2 linked regions of the Nothobranchius furzeri genome follow. The protein of the gene in region 1 interacts with the protein of each later gene in a pairwise test. Links are inferred from orthologs where the notes say so. Each region holds a gene or a part of one and is shown on either strand. Other genes may lie near its edges.

The links.
Region 2: the proteins of nudt3b (region 1) and rplp1 interact in a two-hybrid assay, tested with the Homo sapiens proteins (2 studies listed by BioGRID and IntAct). The link is inferred for Nothobranchius furzeri from reciprocal best matches to the Homo sapiens genes NUDT3 and RPLP1.

Annotation. Positions count from the first base shown.
Region 1 is NC_091743.1:70,852,783-70,857,336, forward strand, and holds the start of nudt3b (diphosphoinositol polyphosphate phosphohydrolase 1), read left to right. Parts: upstream 1-1,506; 5' UTR 1,507-1,719; coding exon 1,720-1,818; intron 1,819-3,195; coding exon 3,196-3,306; intron 3,307-4,554. UniProt on the Homo sapiens protein: Cleaves a beta-phosphate from the diphosphate groups in PP-InsP5 (diphosphoinositol pentakisphosphate) and [PP]2-InsP4 (bisdiphosphoinositol tetrakisphosphate), suggesting that it may play a role in signal transduction.
Region 2 is NC_091759.1:4,062,124-4,066,705, forward strand, and holds the start of rplp1 (large ribosomal subunit protein P1), read left to right. Parts: upstream 1-1,697; 5' UTR 1,698-1,840; coding exon 1,841-1,912; intron 1,913-2,547; coding exon 2,548-2,622; intron 2,623-4,582. UniProt on the Homo sapiens protein: Plays an important role in the elongation step of protein synthesis.

The sequences.
Region 1 (4,554 bases):
GTCTGTGTTCCTCCACTCATTTGGCTTGATCCCTCACAGTAACAAAAAAGGGCACTTTTGGCATCAGGGGTCTGACTGATGTGGAGGGTGGCTGACCAAGCGTTTGTTTTTGACGTGCTGGGAGTGAGAATGTGTTGGCGGCACAGCTCCATGAGCCGCTCACCGTGTCTCGTTATTGGCACTATTTAAACCAATGTTGTAAAATAACTTCTGCCCAGCCCAGAAGTGCTCACATGTGAGCCGTGGCTTCGCTGGAACGCGTCTAACTCTGAACTTCAGATCTTCAGCGCGCTGTTAATAGCCTGACACGTTTAGAATGCTGTCCCACAGTCAGTGTGCTAATATAATAATGCTAAAATGCTCAGATGGGAATCATTTCTTGATTTATTTAGTTACATTCACAATGTTCTGTGTGTGAGGTTTACAATGTCAGAACACCTGCATGAGACAGGGTGTTAATTACAATCTGCCAGAATGACTCACCACCTTCAGATTTCTCCAACACCATGAAAAATGATCAAATACGGAACATATCTTGCTATTAACGGCGTGCGCAGGCCAGAGTGCCGATGCTCGGCGCATTATTATTATGAAGCTAGGGCGCATGCGGAGGACACACTCACACACACACACACACACACACACACACACACACACACGCAAAATATACTTGTTTTCAATTGTATTTATTGGGCCCACTTACTTTTTCTTAAGCCCACCCACAAATGAGTTTCTGGCTACGCTAATGATGACATTTGACAGACTTCTCTGAGCTCCGCAGCCATTACACTTTTCACCTCGCGCACCCCCTAGCGGCAGCTCGCGCACCCTGGCACCACACTTAGGGAATCCCTGATAGATAAAATATTTGATATCAACTTTTTTTTACCTTCTCCCTTAAAAATATTATGATGTTAACATCCTCATGCTGTAGAAGTTTCCCTCGAATTACTTCTCCTTAAATGGATTTTAATCATTTAAATGTAGTGTTCAGGGATTGAAATTTTGTCCAAGAGACCAAGACTGACAGTTGTATGTTTCAATTATTTATTTAAAAAAAACAGTGTAGGCCTTGGGGCTGCATTATTTTAATGTAGTTTGATTTGTCTGTAGTGTACATTATGTTTGAGGCCAGAAGGTGTTATGAAGAAAACTATAAACCACAATTAGGGAAATATAAACTTAAAACTGTGTTCTATTTGTGCCATACTAAATTACAAATGTGGCCATTTTTTAATCAATCAACTGTTAAAATGCTGAATGAGAAATATAATCTAAATTGAGTGTTTAAGTTCAAAGCATTTATGTAAGGTTAGATTATAATTCTCATAAAAATAAAGCAAAATCACTGCTGCCTCAAACAAGTGGGCTTATCAGGTTAGTTTGAGTCTGGAGGCAAAACCGCTAGTTTCCTTCACCGGCTCAGAGCGTGGTGTTGCGTTTCCTCCTTTCCTCACAGTCTCCGATTCTTAAGCGCTGGTTACGCAACATCATTACGCTGTTCTAACTATTAAAGGCTCAATTACGTCGTGGACGTAACGGCTCCTCGTGATGGCGACCGTACCGTAGATGTGCCTAGGTTTGTGAAAATGAAGCGAAGAAGAACTTATTTCTTTTGAGTCAAACGCTGAGGTTCCCTTGAAGAGGGCTTTTGGTCTGTAACCATCATCTATATACGCGGTAAACTTAGCTGTACTTTTAAACTTTTGCGCTTGCGAAATGATTAAGCTCAAGTCCAACCAAACCCGGACGTACGATGGGGACGGCTACAAGAAGCGGGCCGCCTGTCTGTGCTTCAGGAGCGAATCTGAAGAGGAGGTGAGTCCGGTGATGTAGCTGTCTGCTAGGCCATGCTAAGGTTAGCCGGCCGTAGGTACTTACCGTCTGTAAATCAGTACATTAATGAACATAGCTGTGATTGTAATGATTTTTAACTCTTATTCCCGGTTCATATGTAGTTCACCACGTATGTGTATTTAAATTAGTTTTTGCCCATACTTATCTAAGTGTTATGTAAGCCCCTTTAGCTGTACAAATGGAAGCCTATGTGTTTTGCATTATTGGACCGTTAGCTGCGTGCTAATGCTAACTAGCCAGGTTGTTGCTCCGGGCAGCCGGCTGTCAGCCAGCAACCACAGCCTACTGAATTGGCTCTGCTGGCTGACTTGTAAGACATGTACAAAATGACGATTTTGTTTTTAAGACAATTAAGAAAATGTGTGTATTTATTCTGGTTTATCGTGGCATGTTAAATAACGCCTAGTGCAATGAAACAGATATTTTACCCCATTGAATTGTGTAGCTGGAATAGTTTAAACTAACAGGTCGCTCCGTTTGTGGCGAGCCACTTAACATACATAGGAAATAATTTAGGTCGTAAACTTTATAACATTGTAGTAGTAGCGTCAACTGAATGATAGAATAAAAATCCGCTTTAACTAAGGTTTGTTAAATTTTTTTGAAAACTGACTGCCCGTTCCTAAGCAAGAACAAATGTGTTTGTAATAAAAGAAAATGCGTTACAAACAAAATTAGAACTAAATAAGAGACTCGTCCTAGATAATAGAAGATAGATTGTGAATAAAATGTGTTGTTTACAGGAAGTGCATCAGTGTCGCACAGATGAGGTGTTTCCAGTGAAATTCTTTAACCTTTAACTTCTTATACCCGTACAGGAAACAAAACAAACTAAAGCCAGTGCTTGGGTAAACGATCATGCAAGTTCATCCAGCAACTTATCACTGTTGTGACAAAGGCATGTGATAATTGATTAATGGCCCACACTTGAATAGCGCCTCTCAGAGGAAGGACTCCAAAGCGCTTTACACTACAGTGCATCATTCATCCAGTCACACACACATTCACACACTGGTGATGATGAGCTACGATGTAGCCACAGCTGACAGAGGCGAGGCTGCCGAGCACAGGCGCCACCGGTCCCTCCGACCATCACCAGCGGGCAAGGTGGGTTAAGCGTCTTGCCCAAGGACACAACAGCAGAATTCTCTGTCCGGAGCCAGGATCGAACCTGCAGCTTTCTGGTTACTGGTCAACCCACTCAACCTCCAGAGCCACTGCTGCCCTCAATGTTGCTTTATTTGATTAGTTTAGACTAGTTTTGTCAAGTTGTATGTTCTATGTGACGAAACAACAAGCAAAATATCTGTTATATTTAATCTGTGCTGTATGGGATAGGTGCTGTTGGTGAGCAGTAGCCGACATACCGGCAAGTGGATAGTTCCTGGAGGAGGAATGGAGCCCGAAGAGGAGCCCAGTGTTGCTGCAGCTCGAGAAGTGTGCGAAGAGGTTTGTTCTGGTGTGTTCTATCCAGTGTTGTTTTTGGCGTGCATCTTAGTTTTAGTCTTAGTCTTGATGACGAAAATGCATTTTAGTCTTGGTTTTAGTCGACTACATCTTAAAAAGGTTTTAGTTGACAAAGGGTGTTTCTCAATGTCAAGGCGCCTTGCTTACAAGGACACTGTCCTTCCTTGGTCAAAGAAAATGGTTAAATGGAACAGACTTGCATCACGTGACCGCGGCTTCCACGGCGGTCACGTAACGTCACGTGGCATGGGAGATAACATATTTTATATGTATTACTTTCAATGTAAATATATAACGAGCCTTTTACTTTTTAAATTGTGTATGTTTATTAAATTAAAAATATAAACGAGTTATTACCCGCTAGCCACCGAAGCCGCAACTAACCAACAATAGATAACTTCTTTGGATCTAAAAAAAGCATTTTAAATTAATTGACTTACTTTTAAACTTGAAAATTGTCCCTGAAGTAGCTTCCGACTTCTGATCCGCCGTCTTTTTGAAAATACCGCGGTGTATTGTGGGTAATTTTTGACCAAGGCTAGGCACAAAGCACCTCCCATGTATCCTTGCTCAGCTAGCTAAACGGCTAACAAACGGAGAACACATACCTCGGTAGAACATGAACATAGGAACCGATTGGAACACGTCTTGGCGGCTCCCGATGACGTATCACCTAGGCAACCAGGGCGGGGCCAAGACATCAAGGCAAGGTTCCTTGGCATTGAGAAACACCTAAAGATTTTTGTTTTTAATTTTCCAAAATGTTAAACAAAGTGTTATTCTCTAACAAATTAATTTATAGGTCAGACATGTACTCTGAGCTACTGGAGTGAGTTATTGTTTATTTTATGGCTCTGGATTTTACAGATTTTGTAAAACAATTATCCCCAGACACATATCTTTTTTTTATTCTTTACTTTATTGATAATCACTATATTGTATATAATGTATTGATGCAGATCTGTGCATCATTCTGTAGATTTTCATAAAACAAATGTATGATTTTCTTTCCTTAACAGAATGGACTTTCAGGGGGAATACAGAGTATTATGCACAATATTTAAATAGAAATAAAGAAATTTGTTTATTTATTTATTTAATATTTCAGTTATCAGACCTCCATCTTAGTGTCTTTAAATTTATATTTTGGCAAAGTCCACCTACTTAAATACAGTCATGTTTTTCCATGGAGCTGCAGTGTTGTGAGTTTTCACGAGCCTACAGAATTAA
Region 2 (4,582 bases), on another chromosome or scaffold:
CTCTGATTTAACAAATGCTGGTTATTTTGGCGACATTATTTGCTACTGAGCTACAATCAATCAGCATCCCGCTCAGCAACTTTAGCATGCCATTCTGAGTACATACCCCAGGTAAAGGTACTATTGGTTCTTGAATCAAATCAAATCAAACTTTATTTATAAAGCGCTTTTCATAAAGAAAATGTAACTCAAAGTGCTTTACAGATTTAAAAAAAACTCATATCCCACAAATGTCATTGACATTAAAAACAAAACCTCCCCCAACCCAGTGACACACACATACACACACAACATGGTTGAGAACATAAGTAAACGCTGGGCTGAGCTCAAATGAGTCAGGTATGTAAGGAAACGGCATCAGGGGAGCCATCCGCCCCAATAGTAGCACAACCATGGCAGCAGGCAGGGCACCGATACAGGGCGTCCAGAGGAGGGAGGGCGAGGGCCCCACCTACACCCAAGCACTACCTGGAGAGCATCGAGGCCGCTGCCACCGACCACCGGCCCTGAGGAAGAGGGCTCCCACAGAGTAAACACTGTAAAGTATTCGAATAAGTAAGAGAATAAAATAACAAGAGGTAATATGAAAATATATAAATGGCGGTCAGTACAATTGTAAAAATAGTAAAACAATAAAAAACAGATATATAATTCTATTCAATTCAAAAATACTTTATTAATCCCAGAGGGAAATTGATTGCTGTAGTAGCTCAGAATAATAATAATAATCAAGTCGTCAAAGAGTTATTGTATATTACAATGGCTGTTGGCAGGAAGGATCTCCAGTAGCGGTCAGTGTTGCAGCGAAACTGAAGAAGCCTCTGACTGAAGACACTCTTCCGTTGTCGGAAAAGTCTTGTGAAGAGATTGCTCAGGGTTCTAAAATGGCCTATAATGCCCAAAGTAAAAGAAATGCAATTTAAAATTCTTAACAACTACTATCCATCAGCAGAGACACTGAGGAAGGGATTTGGTTTTGAAGTTGACCCTTGTGAATTCTGTCAAGAAAGCCCTGAAGGAACAGAACACTTATTTTTCAGCTGTCCTGTCAGTAAGAGGTTTTGGGAAAAAGTCCATTGTTGGTTAAGAAATAAAATAAGAGAACTTGATCATTTTACAAATGAAGATATTCTAATTTACAATTCTAAATTAAATGGGAATAATTCATTGTTAATTAACATTATTATTATTATGGGTAAATACCACATCCACAAAAGCAAATGGAAAAAACAAATGCCAAACATGAACTGTTTCACAAATGAATTCCGTATGTTCTTATCCCCTTTGACTCGTAAAAAAAATTCAAATGCAACTGCAAAAGCCATTTGTCATGCTGCAGAAAAATGTTTAATCTTGAAACAATGTTTTTACTTTATGATATAAGTGCCTCTTTTTTAAGTTTCTTATTTGTTTTTCTTTTATTGTTACTAAGGATGCCTTGTATGTTTCCATTATGTGTTGTTGTCTCACGAGAAATTGTAATAAGCATTTAATGATGATAATAATAAAAATAAAAAATAAAAAAAAGCTGTCCGAAGTAAGATGGCCGTCGCGTACGGACGTCAGGGTCCAGAACGACCAGCGCGGCGAGGGATCTAGTTAACGTATGATATCTATGGGAAAATGGACCTGACGGTTTGTACGTATAAACGTCACAGCCACGCTTCTTACGCACGTATATATCCCAAAGTCCCGCCCCTTCATCTTCCTTTTCCGCTGTGGGAACGTAAACGTGCCTGAAGTGCTTGGTTCTTCATCTGAAGCTAAGGTCCTCAATCCGGCGACTAGCACAGTCAAATTTAGGCATCCGACGCTACTACCACCACCTTTGATATCTACAATGGCCTCCGTATCTGAGCTCGCCTGCATTTACTCCGCTCTGATCCTCCACGATGATGAAGTCACCGTCACCGTGAGTGTCCCGGTTACTCACGACTGCCGTTGCGCAAATTGGAAATAACACAAGAGGGTGTTGACGCAATAAAATACTCATTAGATAGTTCGTGTTAGCATATTAAGGCGAGCTGTAAATTTCTGTTATACTATTTATCAGCCGGTGTTTACCGGTTAAAAATGGCGGAATGGCTAACTAGGCCCTGTCAAGCTGCTGTACAGTTAAGCGATGATCAAAAGCGAATTTCATGTATTAATTTGGCAGTGAGGTTCAACTACTTACTGTTTTATATACGACCTCACTAGTTTTTTACAATTAACAGTTGATGTCCCACATCATTACATTGCTTTAGTGAGTATCACTTTTAAAACTACTGATATAGTGGCTTGACATGTTTTCTGGATGTTACGTTGCTCCTATCACCTTTTGGTAGCACTTAAGCCCTGATAAATCTGATAGGTTGTAAAACTAACATGTGAGCCATAATGCACATTAGAAGCAACTTTCAACTCCTTGAACAAGTAACTAAAAGCGCTCTGGTGTATTAATAAATTAAGGCTGTCAGTTTTGTTTTGACAGTTATTTTCCCTTTAGCAGTACGTGTGCTGAAAAGGAAAAACACATTTTCAAATTGTGTGACTCTGTGCTCACAGGAGGACAAGCTGAATGCCCTGATCAAGGCTGCTGGAGTCACTGTGGAGCCTTTCTGGCCAAGTCTGTTTGCCAAGGTGAGAATGTGCTTGACACATGCAACTTCTTGACCATATGATGGAAATGTGACCCTCAAAAGACGTGTGCATTAACAGGGTTTTTCCTGCGTTCAAATTAGTGGCCGCTTCAAACTAATTTTGTGCCGCCCCAGCCTGATTTCACTTTGCCCCCTTGCTATATGGATGTTTTATTAATAATAATAGTAATGCATTGAACTTATATAGCGCTTTTCAGGACACTCAAAGACGCTTTCACACACACACATTCACACACTGCTAGTGATTGTAAGCTACTTTATAGCCACAGCCGCCCTGGGGCGGTCTGACAGAGGCAAGGCTGCCATTTGGCTCCGTCGGCCTCTGACGACCACCAACACAGGCAAGTTGGGTGAAGTGTCTTGCCCAAGGACACAACAGCAGAATACCCCTGGCAGGAGCTGGAATCGAACCCATGACCCTCCGATCTTGAGGCAACTTGCTGTACCACCTGAGCTACTGCTGCCCCCATTTTAACTGCAGTTGCAGCGTTGCGCCACTACAGGGGCGCTGTATCAGCAGCGGTGCACCGAAAAGCACTAAAACCACTGCAGAAAAGGATCAAAAATTGCTTCTCTTGCTATTTGGTAAATGGCCTGTATTTGATATAGCGCCTTCTAGAGTCCTGGAACCCCCCAAGGCGCTTTACAACACAATCAGTCATTCACACACACATTCACACACTGGTGGGGATGATCTACAATAATAATAATAATAATGCATTGAACTTATATAGCGCTTTTCTAGACACCCAAAGACGCTTTCTCACACACTCACATTCACACACTGCTAGTGATGGTAAGCTACTTGTAGCCACAGCCGTCCTGGGGAGGTCTGACAGAGGCGAGGCTGCCGTTTGGCGCCGTCGGCCCCTCTGACCACCACTAACACAGGCAAGTTGGGTGGGTGAAGTGTCTTGCCCAAGGACACAACAGCAGGATACCCCTGGCGGGAGCTGGAATCAAACCCATGACCCTCCGATCATGAGGCAACCCGCTCTACCACCTGAGCTACTGCTGCCCCAATGTAGCCACAGCTGCCCTGGGGCGCACTGACAGAGGCGAGGCTGCCGAGCACTGGCGCCACCGGTCCCTCCGACCACCACCAGCAGGCAACGTGGGTTAAGTGTCTTGCCCAAGAACACAACGACAGCGACAGACTGAGCGGGGCTTGAACCTGCAACCTTCCGATTGCGGGGCGAGCACTTAACTCCTGTGCCTCGTCGCCCCATATCTATGTTTGGTGCTATTGACATCCTGATTTTCCCCCAGGCTCTTCCATATCAGAGCAGGGAAGAAAAATATATGATGATCGTAAAACTAAGAAAGGCTAAACTCTACAAGCGGATGAAAAGTCCCCACCATCCTGTTCATTCTGCATCCTGCAGCGCTACGGATCAGAACCGCTGCAGAAACGAGTCACATTACTGCTACAAGTCTGCTCCACACACTGGAGCAGGAAGTACGGCAAGCCGTTGTGGTGTATTGTTCACAAACGCTTCTATCTTTCAACATAATTTAAACTGGATTATTGCAAACCCGTACATAAGAAATGCCACCATTACATTGTTAGCAGCAGAAATTAAATGTTATTACCATTTCCAATACAAATGCATGTTAATGAAATGCATTATAGTTTACTGAATATATTTGTGTTATTTTGACTAAGATGAGTGTTATTCATACAAACCTAAAATATTATCTTAATGTAGGTCAAATATTTCTAAATCTTATTTACTATAAATATCAGATAGAAAAAAGAACTAAACACCAATCTAATGCTTGTTATTGAGCCTTTTATAATAAGATTCTGTTAGTTCAGCCTGATAATTTTGTTTTATTTCATATTTTTAGCAGCAAACCAGTTTTGTTTCACTTGAAACGTTGTCAAATGGAATATTCAATTATCAACAGAAGCTTAAATTAGAACACCTAATGAAAAA